3 linked regions of the Lepisosteus oculatus genome follow. The protein of the gene in region 2 interacts with the protein of the main gene of each other region in a biochemical or structural test. Links are inferred from orthologs where the notes say so. Each region holds a gene or a part of one and is shown on either strand. Other genes may lie near its edges. The genes, in order: ptpn1, stat3 and mtor.

Evidence for each region.
Region 1: of the proteins of stat3 (region 2) and ptpn1, one has a biochemical effect on the other in vitro, tested with the Homo sapiens proteins (2 studies listed by BioGRID and IntAct). The link is inferred for Lepisosteus oculatus from reciprocal best matches to the Homo sapiens genes STAT3 and PTPN1.
Region 3: the proteins of stat3 (region 2) and mtor form a complex in vitro, tested with the Homo sapiens proteins (2 studies listed by BioGRID, with this or other methods). The link is inferred for Lepisosteus oculatus from reciprocal best matches to the Homo sapiens genes STAT3 and MTOR.

What each region holds. Positions count from the first base shown.
Region 1 is NC_090711.1:12,094,938-12,102,134, forward strand, and holds the start of ptpn1 (tyrosine-protein phosphatase non-receptor type 1), read left to right. Parts: upstream 1-4,185; 5' UTR 4,186-4,380; coding exon 4,381-4,449; intron 4,450-7,197. UniProt on the Homo sapiens protein: Tyrosine-protein phosphatase which acts as a regulator of endoplasmic reticulum unfolded protein response. Mediates dephosphorylation of EIF2AK3/PERK; inactivating the protein kinase activity of EIF2AK3/PERK.
Region 2 is NC_090723.1:4,842,161-4,849,073, reverse strand, and holds the start of stat3 (signal transducer and activator of transcription 3), read right to left. Parts: upstream 3,062-6,913; 5' UTR 2,820-3,061; intron 2,383-2,819; exon of another isoform or gene 2,194-2,382; intron 1,705-2,193; exon of another isoform or gene 1,589-1,704; intron 1-1,588. UniProt on the Homo sapiens protein: Signal transducer and transcription activator that mediates cellular responses to interleukins, KITLG/SCF, LEP and other growth factors. Once activated, recruits coactivators, such as NCOA1 or MED1, to the promoter region of the target gene.
Region 3 is NC_090720.1:2,864,091-2,871,349, forward strand, and holds the start of mtor (serine/threonine-protein kinase mTOR), read right to left. Parts: upstream 3,035-7,259; 5' UTR 2,977-3,034; coding exon 2,941-2,976; intron 1,000-2,940; coding exon 838-999; intron 529-837; coding exon 420-528; intron 259-419; coding exon 26-258; intron 1-25. Other genes in the region: ubiad1 (ubiA prenyltransferase domain-containing protein 1), read left to right, coding at 5,616-6,171, 6,470-6,957. UniProt on the Homo sapiens protein: Serine/threonine protein kinase which is a central regulator of cellular metabolism, growth and survival in response to hormones, growth factors, nutrients, energy and stress signals.

The sequences.
Region 1 (7,197 bases), on a different chromosome or scaffold from region 2:
CGGTTTTCGAGAAAGGTGGTTGTCCTATATTTTTTTATTTAAGCTCAAAGTCTTATTGGTTTTGTATGCATGGTCATTTAAAATCTTACACAGGCCACAGAGAAAGTGTATTCTAAGAGTTACATAAAAATTTATTTTTGGCATGTCTTCCTCAAATATGTTAATCATCCTTATTCTAGGCTTCCAGCATAATTACAGTAACGTATCTTGAAATACTTTACAGGTTCAGTCATGCATTGTCTTGTAGTAAATGTAGGGCTCTAAGTGCTACCACTGTACTGCCCCATAGAGAACTCAAGCAGTAACACCTCTAAGACCGTCATATTGTTAAGAGAAAACACGCATTATAGCAATAAATTTAAAGATGGGATTAGATTCTTTGTCTTTCTAAATACAGGTTGTGTTTTTGACAGGCACTTTTTCTAAAACTGAGAAAGAAATTGATGAACTAGGCTAGGTGAGTCTTCAGGCTACGAATTTACATCCAATTTTACTGCAATCTATTCCCTCCAAATTGCAATGGTGACAGAAATACATATCATAAGGAAAAGGGGAAGAAATTTGCTTTGCCTTTCGGCTTAGGCTTTTTTCTTTTCATGCTGGCTGTCGGATCAAATTATCTGCACGGCGAAAATCCCAAGTGTCATCTACAGGAGCCCAGCACGTTGGCTTCCAGTTCGAAGGTGGGACCCTCCTAAATTCACTGAGCACGTGGGCAGCTTATGTGTCCACTTGCTGAATTCGGACAGAGTGCGATAGGCAGAGCAGGATACAACAGCGTCTGGCTTGTGCTGAAGCCTAGCTGCGCCGTTTCTCAGTCCAGGCAGAACTAGATAGGCTTATATCAATGAACAGCACTGTGGAACAGCAGGAGGAAGTATTGGAACCACGTCTCTAAAATTAGTTAACTCATAAGGAGTAACTAAGGATAAAGCAGAGTTCAAGAAAAATTGATAAAGCACCGCTGTGTTTCATCAATTACTATCCTGAGAGCCTATCCACAGAACGCAAATATGTTGCAGAGCCTACACAAACATGCACACACTCACACCAGGTTCAGCCTATTTTACAGGAGCCAGTTAACCCACCAGCATGTTGCTGGATTGTGGGAGGAAACCATAGCAGTCAAGCAATCTTGCACAAATGGAGAGAGAACAAGCAAACTCCACTCAGATAGCACTTTGGATCTGGCATTGAACCCAGTGCTGTGAAACAGCAATGCTACCCACTGCACCATCATGCCACATTTTTCAGTAAATCATTTACTACATGAATAATGTATTATTATATAGATATGGGAATCAAATAAAAGTCTGGCAGTTTGTGTGTCTTCCACACAGTAAAGAGAGTTATCGTGGTTCTGGTCAAGCAGGCACATTTGTATTACTTTTCCTGTTTTCCAGATAATTAAAACTGAACTTGACATCATGTTAAGATCGTGATTTAATATACCAATGTATTTTGCCACTGCTGCAATATCGTTATTGCTCTTTGTTTCCTAAAGGAAACTATGATGGTACAATGTTTTGTCTTGGAGAAATAATGGTTACTGGAAGAGACTTATCCCAGTGAACAGGAATGAACTGGTGTTTGGGTGAGATATTATCAACAACGTGTAATACTTTCAACAAGAATGTCTTGCATATAAACAATGCTTTTCAGCCCAATAGATTACTAAGTACTCCACAGATAAGAGGGAACTTCATATCCATCTCTGTGGTGCCATGCAGCAGGCATTTTGCACTGGGAGTTTACTACTGTGTACAAATTCCTTTCTGTGGCATTAGATACGGTTCTGAAAAGCAAGTATAGTCCGTAAACTGACTTCTAATGGAGCTGTGCAGATTTTAAATTATGTGGCCTTTTTGAACACCTGTACTATGTTAACTATGCATTGTTAACAGATACAATTTGATATACAAACGAATGTGTTCATAGTATAAAACACCAGAGGGCACTATGTCAGCTTTTCCAACCATTTGCATCTTTGATGGCTTGCACATCTATTGGTAGTCACCTCTGAAGGTAGTGCTTACCAGATTTAATTGATTCACTAATCCACAGTGCACAATTATTCGAATAACCAAGTTAAGTTTATAACCTTATTTAATATCACATTTCTGTGCTGAAAACCTGTTGTGCATTCCCTTAAAATGACCTTCCTTATGGTTGGGGGTCATGTCGTCCTTATCCAGTGGCACTGTGCCTGAGCTTTGTGTTTGTGCACAGTAGCATCAGCAACAAGCCCGTCACACTTTTGCTTCCAATATATTTTATAGCATGTGTAGCTGTACTCATTAAAAAAAAAACATGCAGACGAGCAACTCATTTTAACCAATTGCATTTCTTTGCAGAGAATAATAAGCATTTTAAAATGAAGACTACTTTTATATCAATGTAATGGCTAATTGTTTTTTTTCTCTACAATAAAGTAAATGCCACTTTATGTTGTAATCTTGAGATGTGCAATAAATTACTGCGCGTTTGGAACAATTTGGCTTTTTAAAAAATGATAGTACCTTCTGCAATTTTCATCTTTGTAAGTTAAAACAGGAAATATCATATCTGACACTGTCCAAAGAAGGTATTGAAAGCAACTTTATTTTACATTGGTCAAAGTAAAAAAAAAACTACACACTTCATGTTTCAGGTCCACTTGACCTCAGTCATTCTAAAAAGGTTCCCTTTGCCATTTTACTTGAGTCTACGTGAGGACATTTGGGTAGTATTTCAGCTATGTTGATCCCACTGCCCCAGATTTGCTCTCTATTTTGCTAAATCGGGGCTTGATGCAATCAGGCTCCTTAATTACTTGAGTGATCCTGACGATTGTCAATACAATAATTAAGGAGCTGGTTCCAGCTCAATCAATCGAGCTGGAGGGTCTGCAGGAGGTCATGTCATCTTGCTAAAGGTTGCACTCTTCTCGGTCGACTGCCTTTGCTCAAGTCCCAGACTTTCCATACCTGAGAGTCACAAGCCTGCATGATATATATTATTCATTATAAACTGCCTGGACCAGACTAGTTTTGACAAATGAGATCCCTCATTGTAGAATCTTTAAAGGTATTTTCCCTTTTCTTATTATTACACACTATAAAAGCCTGTTCATTTTGCTCCAGGGGACATAAATCAACATGAAAAAGGACGTTTGAAATAGATGACAAATCCCTTTTGCTTAAGGCAATATCCTTTTGTTTTTACGAGTTTCATTTTTTTCTAATCGTTGCGAAAGGGATTAAACATTAAGCGAGCGAATGAGGGACGGGAAACTGGATTTAATCTAGACGTTTACAAATATTATTCTCAACAACAGGTCCAACAAGACCGATGCTAATTTGATTTTAGAATGATCGGATGCGGATCAGAAACAGTAGTAGTAGTGTCGCATTATAAAGCGAATAAAGACTAACTTTAATTAAAATGAAACTGAAATTGTTTTAAGTGTTATTTTTACTTTAGGAGAACATATTTTGTAAAAAAAAATTGAAGTTCGGCATTATTTATACTACAACCTACTACAGTAGCATACCAGCATACTACAACCCTCACAGCGGGTCGGAGTCAGTCACGTGGTCTGGGCTGCACGGATGTTTTTAAAACTGGTAAAAACACCCATCCAGTGTCACAAAATAATTAAAACCTAATAAAAGCTAATATTCTTTCTGGACATTTTAAAGACGATGGGTAAAGAATTAGGCACGAGTTGACAACTGCCGGATTAGCCGAGTAGTCAAATATTGCTACCTTTTAACTTTTTTATTTTTGAAGAACTTTAACAGCATTTGGTGTCTACGCTATACGCTATGCTACGTATCTATATATACTCAACGTGTTTTAATAAAACAAAGTATGCGAGTGCTGTATATAATATGTCGGTGTCCTGCAATATTATCAAGACCTTAAAGATCGTCGGTAAGGGCCTAGGAGTATCATCTTCGTTTCTGTTATGTTTCCACCAACTTGACAGCTACAACAGTATTAATTATAGCTGCAAATCCGTATTGTTTCTAATATATAAACTACAAGTCCCAGAAAAACTAGAGCCCTCACTCCTCGCCTCCTGTTTGGCCCGCTGGGAACCCCGCCCCTCCGGGAAACGCTGATTGGCTCCCCCACTCACAGTTCCGCGCTTCCTGCGACACGATTGGCCATGTAGCGGCGGTGTGGGCGTGTCCCGTGAATGCGGAGGGACAGTCTCGGTGCGGGGAGGCGCAAGCGGCGTGTTTCCGGTTAGAACAGGCCAGGAAACAACTGAAAAGAATACATTAAATCTATATGCTGGACAAGAAAAAGGAGCGATCGGGGTTTGTAATTAGTTAGGCATCGGCTGTCAATTTAATCGTTTTTTACCGGGAGGGAGCTGGGAGAGAGGGCGGTATGAGCACGGCAGTGGAAGCCGAGTTTCGGGAAATCGATGAGTCCGGGAGCTGGAGCGCCATTTACCAGGTAGGTGTTGGGGCAAACCGAGGTAGCGATAGGGGTGTAGAAGGCAGCGACAGGAGTAATTCGAGCAGGCTCGTTGCTAATCTGCCGCGATAGATTAAAGAAGGAGGGGATATCCCGGGTTTTGGCGCTGGCTTGGAGCTCAAAGTAATCTCGGATGTGCCGCGTTAGCCGGAGCGAACTGGTCCAACTAACACGGTGATCCCCAGCTACGTTGGTCCGGAGGCGAAGAGACTTTAAATAACTGGGAAGCCACGACAACGTGGATAGCCGAAAAGGGCTGATATTTGCTGATTTTGCCACTGGACGTGTAGTCGATTCGGAGAACGCGCGATTTAAAAGGATAAAATGCTTAATCCCTTCCCCTCTGCTTAAAAGTGATTTTCTTTAGTTTTCCAATGTGCTCGAGTTCGTGGAAGATGTCCACATGCCCACGAAGTACACTGCTTTCGCTACAGTACGTGACTTCTTGGCTTTCACACACGTGTGTCAGATTGTAAGTGGTCTTTTCACACCTGGAAATGAGCATTATTTATACATGCGCTGAACAAGGCACGCTGTGATGAGCTGCGCTGACACAACACATGTATTTGTAATGTGGCCGGAAAACCCCCTCTCTACATGAACTCCCTGAATTTAATTTACTGCAGCGCGACACGGTGTCTTTTTTCTGAGAAATGTAATTTAATATGTAAATTAAAGTCGCCCACTGCGGGGGGGTAAAACAAACTCCGATAATTTAGTTTTCAAACCTAGAAAGGTGTCGGCAACCTATATGTAAAAAACTATATTAGTCTTCTGTTTCGGTAATGTTATGTTTTAAGATTATTCCGAGTGTTGTTTCTTTGCACCCCAAAACACGATTTCGACCTTACTTTTTAACGTTAACGGTAGCGGCAGTTTCAGGAAATAAAACTGTATTGTACTACACATACAGCACGCCGGGGCCCTAGCAGAAGATATCGGTATTAATAACTCGTTAACTTAAGACTGAGGATCCCCACTTCCAAATGTAAAAATTGCCATGTGTATTTGGAGCATCATAGTTCCCTTTGCGGTTCGAAGGCTTTGCAAGTCGTTGATAATGTAGATCGGTTTATTGTGCAATCAGTCGTTCTGATGCGAGCCTGTTCTGTGATATGCGGAAAAGAGGAAATGGCTAATGACTGTTAATTGCTAAGCAAGTATTAGCCCAAACCCAAAATATTTTATTCATCACTCGGGACTTGAGTCACTAGCCAAAAGTGTTTTGTTTTTTTTACTACAAATTTAATAATCAGTACAACAAAGTGAAAAGTAGTATCATTATTCGTCACCTGTTATCTGGGCTCCTAGTATCATTTTAACTCAAGGGAACAGTTCTGAATTTTTTTTTTTACCTGCTCCTTATCAAGCTAACAAAAGCGGAGGTGTGAAATAAAACCTCAAAGTATGACGCATTGGTGCTCCTCTTCAAGCAGCGTTTACAACACAGGACTGTACTATAGAAGACGCTGAGCAGTATCTGTAAACCTTTTAGCATTGCGGTCATGTAAAACATCAAGACATGCGTGAATGACTTCCACTGCCTTTCTGCCATCTAACTCCTGCTATTGCCTTGTGCAGGTGTGTTATGTCTGTTTGTGAAAAGGGTATTGTGCTCACATATAGTGCATACCCGCACCTGAAAGAGCCCAAGACAGGACTCATTAGTTGGCAGTCAGGGCACAGAGTGTCAGTTTATCAAACTTGCAATTCTGACATGTTCTTGAATGGTTGTGGACAGTGGCAGCACAGTGGTTAGCAGTGTTGGGGAGCTCTGGGTTCATGTCTGGACCTGGAGTGCTATCTGTGTGGAGTTTGTATGTTCTCTCCGCGTTTCTGGTTTCCTCCCACAGCTTAAAACATACTGGTAACAGGCCTCTGGGTGTGAGTGTGCGTGTCTGTGTCTGTGCGTGCCCTCAGATGGATTGGCGTCCTGTTCAGAGTGTTGCTTGCTGGGATAGGCTCCAGCTCCCCAGCGACTCTATATTGGAAGAAGTGGTTAGGAAATGGATGGATTTAGACAGGTCTAAGGGAAAGGGAGAAATGCCAGTAGCTTCCCTAAATCTTGGCTGTAATCTGAGATCAATAGGCTTTCAGTTCTCTTCCCTGTCCAAGATTCCTCGCTGTCACCTTTGGAAATCTCTCCCAGCTTTGTCTGGAGCACAGACCACTGTTCACTGTAAAGGTCAGGCGGGAAATGAGAGCTTGCATTGCAATCTGCGTTAGTCCAGCACAGGAACAATGTTCAATAGAAAAGGACCTGAAATGTATTCACTCAACTTTCCTGTGAGTTTAAAAATCTTCTGTGCATTTGACCCACATGTTCATCTTTTTATGTGAATGTATATAATTTTAATGCTAGAAATCTTTAGGATGTCAACTGAAGGAAACTTAACGATCATTTACAAGTTCTCACAGCTGCTTAGAGTTACTTTTATGGATGTATCAGTGGTTAACATGCAGAGAATAGCACAATGTGTTACAATCTCCTAAAGTGTTTACTAACAGTTTTCCCCTCAACAGAAAATGTTAACAAAACAGACTTTTTTTAACATAAAACATTCCTGTTTGGTTCTAGATTATCATCAACACAATTTGGGTAAAAAAACTCACCAGATGCTGAATATTTTTAAATAATGAAACATTGTGGGGTAAATATTTACAACAGGGATAACAGTTTATACTTTCTTTTTCAACATGTCGTTTATAAGACTAAGGTAGTTTTTC
Region 2 (6,913 bases):
GCATCTATTCACTCAGCTAACAGAGTGGGGCCCTTCTGCTTCAGCTGGCAAAATTCACTTTTAAAGCACTACTTAAGCACTCGGATAGTGGTGGAACAGCTGACAGGTTCAAACAAGGGTGCATTTAAGCACACAGTCCACTTCACCAAGGAGGCGTGGGAGTGGGAGAAGATGAGAGCTGAGAAGAAAGAGGAAGAGACAGGGATGCAGGGGCAATTGCAGGTGAAGTCATTGATAAACCACAGAATATTGAAAACAAAATGTCAGGCTGACGAAGACATTATGAAACACACCTCTAGTATAATCCTTTACTGATCCTTCACGGTGACGAGCTGAAAGGCAAAAAGACCAAGCCATCGCAACACCTGATTTTAAAATGCAGTCTAAGCCATCAAGCTCTGTAGCTCAGTCAAGTAGCACTTAAACGGGCATCACAAAAGAACAGCACATCTTTGAGAGTGTGCAGTGCTGAAGAGATGTTGAGTGGAATGCCCACACCAGAGCAAAGACCTCTGCATTTAGACCTCATCAATACAAGCAGCTTCCTGTGTAAGACAGCTTCGACAAAATAATGATCACATACTGATCAGCGAGTACTGGCCGCCCACCAGGCGGAGAGGAACCTTTATCAAGCCCTGCAGACTTCAACGAGCCCACTTTCTCCAAGCGTCTTCCATGCCTGATGCAGAGCGAGAGTGGAAAAGTGGAAATCTGGGAAAACTCAGACCATGCTTTATGCTAAAAGAGTGGGATCTGCGCAGACTCTAAGCCCAAGTCATTTCTTGAACGGCAAGTGGAAGTATCCCACCCCAACACACACACCCACTCACTATCACCCGTGTCAATGGACGACTCGTTGCTCAAGCACGGCAACGCTCACGAGTGGAGACTGGCCACCCTGCAGCACGGAGATCGGGTGCAAAGGACCCCCCCCCAGCTTTTCCAAACCTCCGCTACAGTTCCATTCTCTGGTAAAAGAAAAATTCTCGACCTTCAGCTACGTGCTTCAGGCTGCCAGAGAGGAAATTCCCAAGCCTGTCATGAAGCCTACTCGCGTGTACATCCACCCGAGCCGGCGAGCAGGTACCTGTGCTGATCACAGCGAGCTTAGGTGTAAGGCAGAGTTCCCCTTCCCAGCCACTTCAAAGGGCCGAACCTAGCACCTCATTTATCGAGCTACCACAACACATGCTCAGGCCGTGGAAACGAGCGCGTCTTTAAAGCTGAAGAACTGCGATCGATTTGCTCGTCTCAGCCTCCTCCAAAAATCAGAGCTGACCCAAAGCACCGTGAAACTACGCACACGGTTCAAAGGCGTCACCTCACCTCTGCAAAACATAAATCCGGTTTCTTACAGTTTGCAAGTACTAAAGAACGGGTATGGATCTCTAACCAACCAAAACACAGAAGACAAAGCCTTACCTAAACTATTTGGTTGCATAACCAAAAATAAACGTAGACGTTAAGTGACCGTCCTTTTATTTTTAGGGTTTTAGCAGGGGTGTCGAAATAATCAACAACCAGCCCTTTTGAACTCCTGGTGGATGAAGGAAAGTGAGTTTTTCTTAAGCATTAGTCATGATCTCACCTCCGTTCTGCGCGTAAAAATGAAAGCCAGAATTCCAAAACGTTTCTGAAGGTGTTACTTTGTAACTTTGATTACTAAAAAAAAATATATAGCCTTTTAATGTCATCGGAACCGTTCACCACAGCAAGCGAGAACGAAGCTCGATTTAGCCCAGCGAGGAAGTCGATCTGACACCGACTGTTCTCTTTCGCTGCAAAAGCATTGCGTAATGCTAACAGATGAATCACAAGTGAACAGAAAACTCTCCGACCTGTCGGACTGTTCTTTGAGCTCGCCTCTTCTCTACCAGGAAATGTGTTTAATATTTATCCACACACACACACAAGTGTTCGTGCAAAGAAAATCGTCAATGAAGCTAAACCCACTTCTGCAGACTTCCTCACGAAAAACACGGTTTTACGCGGACAACTTGAAAGATGAACTGAAACTTACCCTTTATCATTTCAAAAAAACATATATCTCATCATATTTCTTTTTTTCCCCCCAATCAGGGTGCCGGAACCCCATTCAGTTCCGGAATCTCTTCAACGCAGTTCTAGTATATGGTAATATAAAAACTCCCCGGGTCTTGGCACCGACTTGGCTGAATGCCGGTTACAGTACACACCATGACATGTGGAATGACTTCTCATTTATCGAGCCTTAAGGGGTTTTAAATTTCAAATGAGGGGGATCTTTACGGAGTAATTTTGAAAGTGGGCATTCACCCAGAACAGGCATTTCCATTGATGAGACTACAGACAGCTCATACCAGAACAAGCTCGCCAGGTGTGGGGGTTCACTCGTACGCGCAGGTAAGCGCTCAGAAACACGCCACTGTCGCCTTGCTGGGCTCACCTCCCTTGAAATTATCGCACTGCAGCCAGACACGGGGAAAATCAATAAAATCTCAATCGAGAGAGGGGGTGGGGACAAACACAAAAAAACGTGCTTTTTCAAATCAACGACGTTGGCCATTTCTTTCGCTTTCGCTCAGGTTTGGAAACGCGCATCCCCGGGTCTCTCGCCGAGCGGTCCGCTTTTTGCGCTTCTGTGTTTCTGACTCGTCTGGTGTGAGTCATGCAAAAGCGTGTGGCTTTTAAATCTTTACACATCCCTCATCTTCAATGCAGAAAACCCGTCATACGCGAAGCAGACCTTAATCCGAGATTACGGGTTTGTTGTTATAAACAAGGGTTTTTTTTTTAAAAAAAACTGGCCAAATCGTAACAATTACACAAGAGCCCCTTACCTGATTTCTCACTGGAGGTCCTCTTGAAAAATCAAGGTCCCGTAACTGTTTCCTCACAGAAATGCTAAAAGCGAGAATTAATCTTTTTATAAAGGACAGAATCAGTCTGAAGTGCTAACAGTTTGCCTTATTCCCTAACTTCGCTTTTCAGTTTTTCCTCTAACTTTCCCAAACTCGATGGCTGCTGAAAAATCGCTGTTGTTAAGTATTTCCTCTGCCAGCATTGGAGACAACCTAACCCCAGTAGCAGGAAACAGCTCCTTGGTCCAATAACCGTGGAGAATCCTTTCCTGTTACTTAATTATTCATAAAGGTGTAAATATCTCATCCAATCAGCACCTCCAAAAACCCAAAAGGGGGCGGGGACAGAAAGCCTAAGGTTAGACTGTGCGCGACATCGCAGTGTTTATAATTCACGCCCTCACCGCCGTTCTAGAATAAAATCTTACCTCCCTCTTGTGCTTCCGTCGAACTTCAAAAGAATCCCTTCTTTAAAAAGGCTGCAGCGGAGGGAAGGTGTAACAGTGCCTGGAACAGCGCGGCTGGAAATCATCTGAGTTACTGGCAGTGATTACGTCACATGCAGTTTAATAAGACAAATGAAAACTGGATTTTTAAGAGCATTGAGTGAGCTATTGCTAATGAAAGGAACTAAATAGCTAGAAAGCTATTAAATGAATCATCAAACATATATTTAGAAGGCAATGACAATTTACCTATCAGTCTTCTTTATTTCCTTTTCCTGTATTTCCCGTTGGTATGCTTTTTAATAAATGTCTCTAGTAAGAACTCCATATTCTATTCTAAACTCCACATTCTACGCATAATAGACGCCCTTTGATAATCAGATAGTCCGAAGTTTTTACTTTTCTGAACAGGCACAAACCAGAAGTGACACAGTGAAGGGTTATTTGAAGGAAGTTGAAGTTGAAGGAAGAGGAGGTGGGGGGGTGTCATTTTCCAGATGGATGTCTGCACTGCATGTACATTTGTACTGTTGGGGGGTATCCAGTCTTTTTGGTAGGGAGATGTCCTGCCTTCAGTTTTTCTGATTTTTCTCCTTAAGTTAACAGCAAAGTTTATCCGGAAAGCTGTGGGGTATTGTTAAAACAGTCCAGTTCACACAATAACAAGCTATTTCTGCTGCTCCCAGACTTATGTCATTTTAAGCAGCTGAAACTGTTGAAAAATGTCAGAGCAAGTGGTTTTCTATAAAAGCAGAAAGGCCATATAGAAGGGTTTGTAAGGTCCCTGGCAGTGTCCCCGCTGGGGTTCCCCTTGCTGTGTCAATCAAAGACCCCACAGGTTCCTTGGCGCTCTTGTGTGGTGGGAGGAATGAGTGGATGGGCAGAGGGGCGGAGCGGTGGCTCTGTGGCTCAGGATCTGTGCCTGTGACTGGAAGGTTGCCGGTTCGAATCCTGCAGCCGGCAGAGGAATCCTACTCCGTTGGGCCCCTGAGCAAGCCCCTTCACCCCAACTGCTCCAGGGGTGCTGTATAAATGTCTGACCCTGCGCTCTGACCCCCAGCTTCTCTCCCTGTCTGTGTGTCTCACGGAGAGCAAGTTGGGGTATGTGAAAAGACAAGTTCCTAATGCAAGAAAATTGTATAGGGCTAATAAAGCGATATTATTATTATTATTATTATTATTATTATTATTATTATTATTATTACAGTCAGTTGGCGTGCGGCCATCCTGTAAGGCAGTGTTGCTCACCCCTGGTCTGGTCTGGTCTGAGTTCCCATGACTTCATTCCAGATGGGAACCCAGTCTGCTGCCAACGGACGAAGTCATTGCCTTTCTACTCAATACATGTCCCTTCTATGTTGGGCTCTGGCATTGTGGGGGAGTTTTCCCTGGAGGATGGGGCATCACACTTCCTCCTCATGAAATGAGCAATTCAGCCAGGCAAACTATAGCACCTGCTGAAAACCCATGTGATCGTTGGAAAACATGCCAACTAAACACAGAAGGCATCCACGCCTATAGTCAAACCCAGGAATGTAGGATTACGAATGCCATGGGACCGGTAGATATATCACAACTGCAACCTACTGACGCCTGGCCAGTACCTGGATGGGAGACTTCCTGGGAAAGCTGAGGTTACTGCTGGAAGAGGTGTTAATGGGCCCAGTAGGGGGCACTCACCCTGCCATCTGTGTGGATCCTAATGCCCCAGTATAGTGATGGGGACACACAAAACTGGGGTCCTGACTCTCTGTCCTCATTAAAAATCCCGGGGTTTATCAATCATGGCCTCCTAATAATCCCGATCTAGGAATTGGCTTCATCACTCTGCTCTCCTCCCCAGTGAGAGCTGGTGTGTGGGGAGTGTACATGCTCACTCTGGCTGCTGTCACATCATCCAGGTAGGGCTGCACACTGGTGGTGGTGGAGGGGATCCCCATTACCTGTCCACAAAAGGGCTATATAAGCGTAACAATTATTCTTAAATATTCTGTTGGTTTGCACATACGAGCTGCTGTCTCCCAGCTGGCACTCCAAACTGACATGCCAAGTGAGATATGACATGTACTGTACACATAGATACTGTAGAAATACCTTGCGTGTGGACTTACATCACAGACGTCCAGTTCTGACAGTGCGGGTGCTTTGATTTCCCAAACATTGCTTGTTCAAGATTTGTTTTATTTAGCCCCAGTCAACCAAAACAGAAAAAAACAAAAGCAAAGGGATTTAAGTTACAGTTTTCATCTGAAAGAATTCAGCCTTGACACACGGTGCATTTCCTCTAAGGAAGGAGTAGCTTAAATGAAACAATGGCGGTTATGGTGGGCAACCTGTGAAACAAACTCCCACAGTGTCTATCAAAGTTTCCATTCGCACCATCAGAGGTGCCACGCTATTTAATATCAAATTTATTCATGAACCATATATATTTCTCTCACTTTAGATATAAAAAACGAGTGCTTTGCTAACCAAAGGCTATAGCCAGTTTGAAGGCAAAAATAGGTTTTTGTGAACCAGCTTTAAACCAGGCTGACCAAACAGTAAGTGCTGGTAGGATCTGTGTTATATAATCTCAGGAAACAGACGGATTAAAACAGATGAATTCCCAGAATAAAATTAATACTTTCTCTTTCAAATGATCTGACTTTGTTTTACTGTTTATGAAAGCATTTACAGTAGGACACAGTGTGAAATCTGCTTCACCCCTTTCTACTTTTTCATTCTGTCTGGTTTCAACAAGCAGGAGAAGAAGAAGTGTAAAATATTGCCAGTTTGTCTCAGGTGAAACGAAGTCTGAGGTCTGGTTTTTGTGCCCAGCTGCGGGTGAGTGATTTCGTGTCTTCTGTTACCATAGTGATGAGCAGCTGCTTCTCTCCGGACTTAGAAGCTAACCAACAAGCGCTACAAGAATCAGCAGGTTTCCTATTCAGACTTGGCAACAGCATCGCAATACAAATGGCATTCCAGTAAAGCTAATCAAAAGATCGGCTGTCAGATTGTGTCCTGTTTAAAAGCAGTTACCTCCCTTTGGCATTGTGTTCTCACTTCCTTACTGCAAACAGGCCTCTGTTAAGGATCGGCCTTTTAAACGGATGTATTGTTTATGACTTTCAAATGGTGATGCATGTGACTAACTAGACTATGACGTGACACTCTGTGCACAGGTACACTTAAAATTCAAAGCCGTTCCATATGTGACGTTCTGTGTTGTAACTCACTTTGACGCCTAACTACAGCTTAGACTGCAATGACGAAGATAACTTTAGACTCTTTCAAACAATTCAAGGTTGAACTCCTTCGCAGACCTCAGAAGATGAGTCAACAAAAACTCAATTCAATCAAGGGTCTGTAGCATTAATCAAAACTGAGAATATGTGCTACATCTACATCTACAGTGCAGTTTAAGCCCCTGTTACAGTGGTAGCTGTTTAAACATTTGGGGTGACTGGTGAGGCTGGGAAAGACTTGTCTGGAAAAGGACAGTAGTGTCTTCATTAAGAACTGGAGCCCATTATATTCTGGGCCCCAGGCCCTAGTCACTGTGTCAGTTTCAGGCAGTCCTCAAGAGCAGCTCTACATACTTACAGTTTCCCATTCTACAGACATACAGATGTACAGCTCTGA
Region 3 (7,259 bases), on a different chromosome or scaffold from region 2:
AAAGGCCTGGCGGCAAAGCTCTTACCGCGGCGTGCCGTCGCCCCTCGTTCCTGTCCGCCCCCAGCCACTCCAGAGCCCTCTTGACCTCGAACTCCACGTACTCCGCAGTGAAGGTGTCCCCGGCCATCGACAGGTGGCCCATGGCCTTCGAGGCCATCTCCATGACCACCGGGTCACTGGAGGGCAGCAGGTTGCGGAGGTAGTTCGCAAATCGACTGATTCGCGTGGCATTTCCTCCTTCGACTCCAATCAGGCTCACTGTGTGAGGAAAACGGCACAGAAGCTCAGCACCGGCAGCCATTACGGAATAAGATGACCTGCGTTTCAGACAACACTGTTCGGTAGTGTCAGTATCGGGGTTTTCTTCATTCCTCGAGGAAACCTGGGGAACGGACACAGAAATCGCAGGACTGACTCACCAATGGCAAGGATGCCTCCTTTCTTCTCATTGACATCGGAGCTGGACACCAGCTCAAAGATATGATGGTTCAGCTCGTCATAGAAGGTGGTGGCCTCTTCTTGGCTGAGCTGGGAGAGACAGCGGCAACGAGAAAAGGGGCTGGGATTAACATTCCTGCGCTGGGCGAACCTTCAACAGTGCGCCACATCCGCCTCCACCATAGCAGCGCTGACTCGTTTGATCAATCAATTCTGTAAACCGCTAAGAAAACTGAAATCAAACCAGCAATAAATCAAATTCGACCCTCTTGGGTCCAAAGCACTTTCATTCCTCGAACAGGACTGAGACACGCACCACGCTGTGCTACACAGCACCCTGAGCCTCCCCCAGTGACGGGCAGGGGAAAGGGGCAGTGGGGACCCCACGGGTCTCCTCACCTCTCGCAGCTCGGTGGTGACGTAGTGCTGGAGGTCCTTGGCGGCTTTGGCCCGAGTCTCCTCACTGCGGCTCTTCAGGCCGCTGACGAACTGCTGCAGGACGGTGGCCGTTCCCGACATGATGGCCGCTGTCCAGCAGGGGGCGCCCACCTCCCCGTTCAACTGTATTAAAAAAAAAACAACACTCCTGGCAGCGGTTCAGGTGGGATTTTGGGGTTTTGTTTTTTGAAAAGGGGCAGAAAATGGAATTTTCTTCATCGACTGAAAACTAGAGGTATAGAACTGTCTTATTTACACTATATTGATATTTTCCCATAAGATGCTGTTTATATGCTGCTATGATTTCAAGGGAAATAACGGGAAAAATATGCACCAGAGCTATTTATGACCAATTCTCAGTTATCTCTATGTTGTCAAATGTGTAAAATGTTTGGAACTGCTCCTAGGAAAACAAAATGAGTCCCTTTGCACTGTGGTTGGATTATTTCTGGTTTTAAGAGTTGAAGATCTTCAAGAGACCGTGTCAATGCAGTGGAAAACGAAATACTTAAGATTATTTTGATTCCACATAAGAGGTCTAAGCGAGACAGACTGAAAATGACACAACAGGCATGAAGAAACTGGTACTGGCTTTTCTGCAGGTACTGGAAGCTTGGAAACCTGAAATGCTACAAAAACAATGGCAGCCTTGTTTCTCCCCAAAATATTTACAACGATTGTGGATTCCCTCACGACTCAAAAGATTGTCCCTGAGAACTGTTCTGACTGTGGTTGGCTTCTTTTAGTCAACACTATTATTCAGAACAAGAAAAAACTGATGTGATGTGCATAAATCCCAGGGAAGCTACACCTCATTTAATCACTGCCTTACAAGTATGAGAAAGCTGGGGGTCTTGTTTGATCCTGAGCTCTGTTTTGATACACACATAAAAGACACCTGAAAAGTCTCTTACTGTCACCTCAGACACGCTGGCTTTTCTTGACTGCACTGCTGCAGAAACCCTGATTCAAGCCTTCATCGCATCTCAGCTGGGTTAGTCTCCCTACCTGACTCCTAAACAAACTTCATCTGGTCCAAAACTCAGCTGCTTGACTTCTAACATGCTCAAAGGTGACCAATTCTGACACGTCTTCACTGAAGCCCCCGCTACCCAGCACTTTCAGTTCAAACTTTCACTGTTAACTTTTAAAGCCCTACGTGAAATACTCAACACCTCTCATTGCTCCCTGTGTACGGTACCAAACAGGGCTTCACACTCTGCTATAGCAGCACTTTTTACAGCTACAGGTCTTGAACTACCCTCTCAGATGCCCTGCTCAACAACTCTGGTGCTCACTCCCTGCCACTCTGACAGATGTAAACTCTTATACAGTTCCTGCTTAAAAATAGAAGAAAAGCAGATGACCATTTATAACACCTTTTGTGAGGAATTTAAGGAACCTGAGCAGAAGAGAGATACGTATCTGGGGTCCTCAAAGGGAGTCTTGGAACAACAAGTAATTGGCAGTTACAATTGGCAATCCAGTTCACTCTAGATAAAGTACATCCTTACTTTAGTCCAGTATTTACCACATCCATTACAGAAAAACTCAAGAAATAAACCTTAATAAAAGGGAAAAATATACGGTGCTTTTGACCCTCCAGGACAAAAGGCAGTGTGTAAATGCAATAAATGTCTTAACCATGCTTCCAGGTTTCCTCCCACAATCCAAAGACATAGCGGTGATTAATTGCTTTCTGGGAAACTCGGCCCTAGTGTGAGTGGGTGCCCTGCCATAGATTTTCGTCCCGTCCAGGGTGTACCCTGCCTTGTGCTTGCCGAGATGGGATTCAGCTCCCCCGCGACCCTGAACTGGACGAACCGGTTAAAAAATGGACGAATGAATTTGTATTGCTGCTGCACAGCCGGACCTCAGGCTCATAACCAAATCGCTGAAAAAAGACCCTGTTTGGTCCACTTTCTATATATACAGCAAGGGGAGAAGGTATTAAAAGCGGCATAACGTAATGATGAATCTAATTTGAATTAAAATGCCAATAAGTAAAGTAATAATTAATTTATATAGTAACATACTCTAAGATAGACGAAGTGGCTATATTACCTGAAGCGAGATTGCGACACTTTTAAAAAAATGCATCGATCGTCCTTAAAACTGTGTTACGAAAGGCTTCGGTGCACAACGTATTGCATGAATTAAAACGATATTAACGTTTTTGACAAAGTGGACGAATACAGTGTCCCTTAGCAAACCATGTCGTGCATTTTCTTAAATGATTCCTGTACTGAAGCAGCCTTCTTTGAAATACTGACATCGCATCATTAAATGCAAATAAACCAAGGCTCTGAGTATTAGGCTTAGTGCAATAAGCACAATTAACTGGCGTTTATTCAACAAAAAAACACCAAATTATTTTAATGATCCAAGCAAACGCATAATTTCAGTCAGGAAGAACAGTACTCACCAGTCTCAGATTATCACAACCTAATTTGGGAGGGCGACCCAAGACCTTGGAGAGATTTCTATTTTGACCAATGAAAATAAGAGAATTTGATGATTGACAACCACTCTACCCATTCAAAACACGCGAAAGTGATTGACTGGACCCGCTATCCAATGAAACGAAACATTGACTTGCAACAACTTCAGAAAAGGACCAATGTGAAAACGTTTGGCCTTTATTTACGAAATTGAGGATGCTGGTTTTTCATTTGTCGTGTGGGATAGTTTGGTTGGATGGCAACTGTTTAATATAAGCAAGAATCTTGTTTAAAAAAAAATAAAAAATCAAGACATCAGCGCTCATGCCATCGGAGACAATATGTAAAAGCGAAGCGGCAGCCGAAAATCCCAATGTTTAAATTGCATTTATTGCCCAACGACTGCAATAGCAACTTTTTGATCATTGGGAAAACAAAACATAGTAAAACCGAAATACATGTCGGATTTAAGATTGATTTAAGCGTGATCACAAGCGCTGAGCAATCTTTAGGGGACATATGTCCTTTTCTAGATAATTTATTTCCCCGGCATTGTTTTCAAAAGGAATAAAACCGCATCGTTGTTCTGCTAAAATAGGTGACCGAGACTAAGGGTACAGGATGGGTAGTCGGACACATTTCTCGGTTGCACAAGGGGCGGTGGAACAAGATGGCGCTGCCCAGGTGGAGGGCTTGCACGAAATATCCTCGTACTTGACACGTAGCGAAAATAAGATTAGTCCCCGTGTAACGGTTATAGAAGACGGAGAGGAAGAATGCTACTTTCAGCGCGTTAGAGAGACTAAACCCAGAAACAACAGGTACGTTGCGGGATATTTTATTTGTCGTGCCGGTGTACGCCGCATGCAGAGCGAGAACTTTAATACATGTAACGCCTAGTTTTAATTTTAGTCAAACACTTGTGCACAAATCTGTGCACAGATAACAATCTCCGTTTCATTTGTTTAGCTTTTGGAAGGTTAACCTGAAACTAAGTAGCTCAACTTTTTCCCCCCTCTCTCCAACGCACTCAGGAGTAGTTGTTTCACTTTCACACAACCTCATACAAAAGATAAGATTTTTCGTATTCAGTCAACATGTATGTCTTTGAAATACGCTTGTGTGTCCATGTCTTGTACAGTAGCTTAAATACAAATACGCCTTTGTTTTGCAAATAGTTTTCTCTGTTCGTTTGCTATTTTATTTTCTTCGGTAGGGGATATAGTAAAAGTGAACTTGATTGCATTGCTCATCCCAAAGTTAAGATTCCTGTACTGAAGCAGCCTTTTTTTAAATATTATTAAGAATAAGGATGTTGGGTGGCATTCTTTACTGACTTGCCTATACATATATTAATACTTCTCAAAGTAAGGTTTCTTAACTTCTATAGCAGAAAGTCATCAGAAACTAAAATGATTCTGAAACTTGGTTCACACCTTCCCCCTTTCTTTCAACGAAAGACTTGTTTTATTCTAAGTTTCTGTTCATTTGTAGGTTTCATTTTACACCTCTCCTCGCCTCTCTCGACCTCGCACCACTTGGTTTGCCACTCTGCCCCTCCCCTGCTCCTGCCACCTCCTCTCTCCTGGCTTGTGTTTTCCCAGGCTCTATTATCTTTGCTGCCTGCCCTGTCTTTCTTACACCTGAAGAAGGCTCCACAGCCGAAACGTTGTGTTTTCTTTCTTCTCTTTTCAGCGTGAAATAAACCTATTACTTGTCCCTATATATACATATTGAAATGGATACGCCTCTGTGCACAACAATGATCTTGGCCACCTGGGCTGAGGAAGGTCTTCTTTAGCTCAGCTGGCAAGACCCCTGTTGAGCGATGCCTTAGTCCCGGGTTCGTGCCCCTGCGGTGGAGGAATGAACTGGGGTGGGAGTGGCAAGGGCAGAAACCCGAAAACCCAAATCTGTTCCGATCTATTAAATTTGTATTCATGTGGATACAGTGGGCTAAAGTAGTTTAAATTGTTCAAGAATTTTTAAATCATATTAAAATGCATGCTTGTTCTCTAAAACTCGTTTTCTAATTGTATTTTTAGTGGTACACAACAAAATGTTTCCATTAGGAAGATTCTTTAAAGTATTACTTGCTCTTGCCAGTAATTTCTAAGTAGTGAAAATCTAAATTTGCCCAGAATTGGAGTGAAGAGGCAAGAAGTAAAGGGCAGTGTGTTTGGAGCTTGCTCATGTGATTTCTTTGCTTGTCCTTCCTCTGTCCCTGGGCTCTTTGTTTCAGGTGATCCCTACGTGTGATTATTTCCCGGCGGCGGTGTTCATCCTCGGGGTGCAGGGATGACGGAGGGGGAGAAACCCGGCTTTGCGTCAGAGACTTTTGTCCTGGCGGGACCGAACGGGCGGAGCGCAGGAGGAGGAGGGGATCCGGGGGAACATGTTTTTGTCCAGGACCACCAGGAGGAAAAACCCTGCAGCAGGACAAGTGACATGAAGCACAAATGCGCTGCTTACGTTCTGGCCCTGAGGCCGTGGAGCTTCAGTGCCTCTCTGACTCCGGTAGCTCTGGGCGGCGCCCTGGCCTACAAGTCCGAGGGCTCCCTTGACTTCGTGATCCTGCTGGTGAGCGCTGTGGCCGTCCTGGTGGTTCATGGAGCTGGAAACTTGGTGAACACTTACTATGACTTCTCCAAAGGGATTGACCACAAAAAGAGTGATGACCGGACACTGGTTGACCAGATTCTGGAGCCCCAGGATGTAGTCATGTTTGGAGCGGTTCTATACTCCCTGGGATGTTTGTGTGCAACTTGCCTGTATTTTCTGTCCACTCTGAAGCTGGAACACCTGGCTCTTATATATTTTGGAGGCCTGTCGAGCTCTTTCCTCTACACCGGAGGTGAATTACCCACAATTTGTCATGTAGCAATAGTGCATTTATGAGTTCCCTTTTGGGGGAAAAAAAACACTTTTATCCTCGTGATGTGGAATAGTGACTTGAAAAGATGTTGCTGCTTAAAAAATCTCGAGCTGTTTTTTTGGAAGTAGTTTTAAATTTGCCTTTATGGATGGTTTGGACCCTGTTATTTTATCCGTGGCTACAGGTGCGGCGCACGCTGTGCCTGCCTCGCCGTGCCACGTGTCCCCGCTGCTCCTGAGCGTTAACCCAGGTCTCAGCTCTTCCTTCTCCTCCGCAGGTATCGGGCTGAAGTACGTGGCCCTGGGCGACGTCGTGATCCTGATCACCTTCGGGCCGCTGGCCGTCATGTTCGCCCACGCCACGCAGGTGGGCTACCTCTCCGTCCTGCCCCTGCTCTACGCCATTCCGCTGGCCCTCAACACTGAAGCCATCCTGCACAGCAACAACACGCGGGACATGGACTCGGACCAGCAGGCGGGCATCGTGACGCTGGCCATTCTCCTCGGGCCCACGCTGTCTTACATGCTCTACAACCTGCTGCTCTTCATGCCCTACATCCTGTTCTCCATCCTCGCCACGCGCTGCACCATCAGCATGGCGCTGCCCCTGCTGACCCTGCCCATGGCCTTCCCCCTGGAGAAGCAGTTCAGGAGCCAGTGCTACTCCAAGATTCCCCAAAAGACTGCAAAGCTCAATCTCTTAATGGGACTCTTCTATGTCTTTGGTATTATATTGGCACCTCCAGGGAGCCTGCCAAAAGTGTAACCCCCACCCCAGCTCCATTGATTTTGATAAACGTGTTTTTTTTTATGTTGGTATTTTGTTATAGAGTTATTAAGATCAAGGGCTTTCATTTCATTAATTCAAATGAGTGCAGAGAAGGACGTGCAATTATTATAGATAGGACAAGTGTCTTGTTCTTTGCCCTTTTATCTCATTCAGGCTTGTTTGCTCTCCAAGCTGAAATGTTTTTTACTCCGTGGTGATTTTCTGCATATTGATCTTAATTGAAATATATGCAGATTACAGTGACTGATGGAATTTTTTACTCCGTTAACAAATATCTA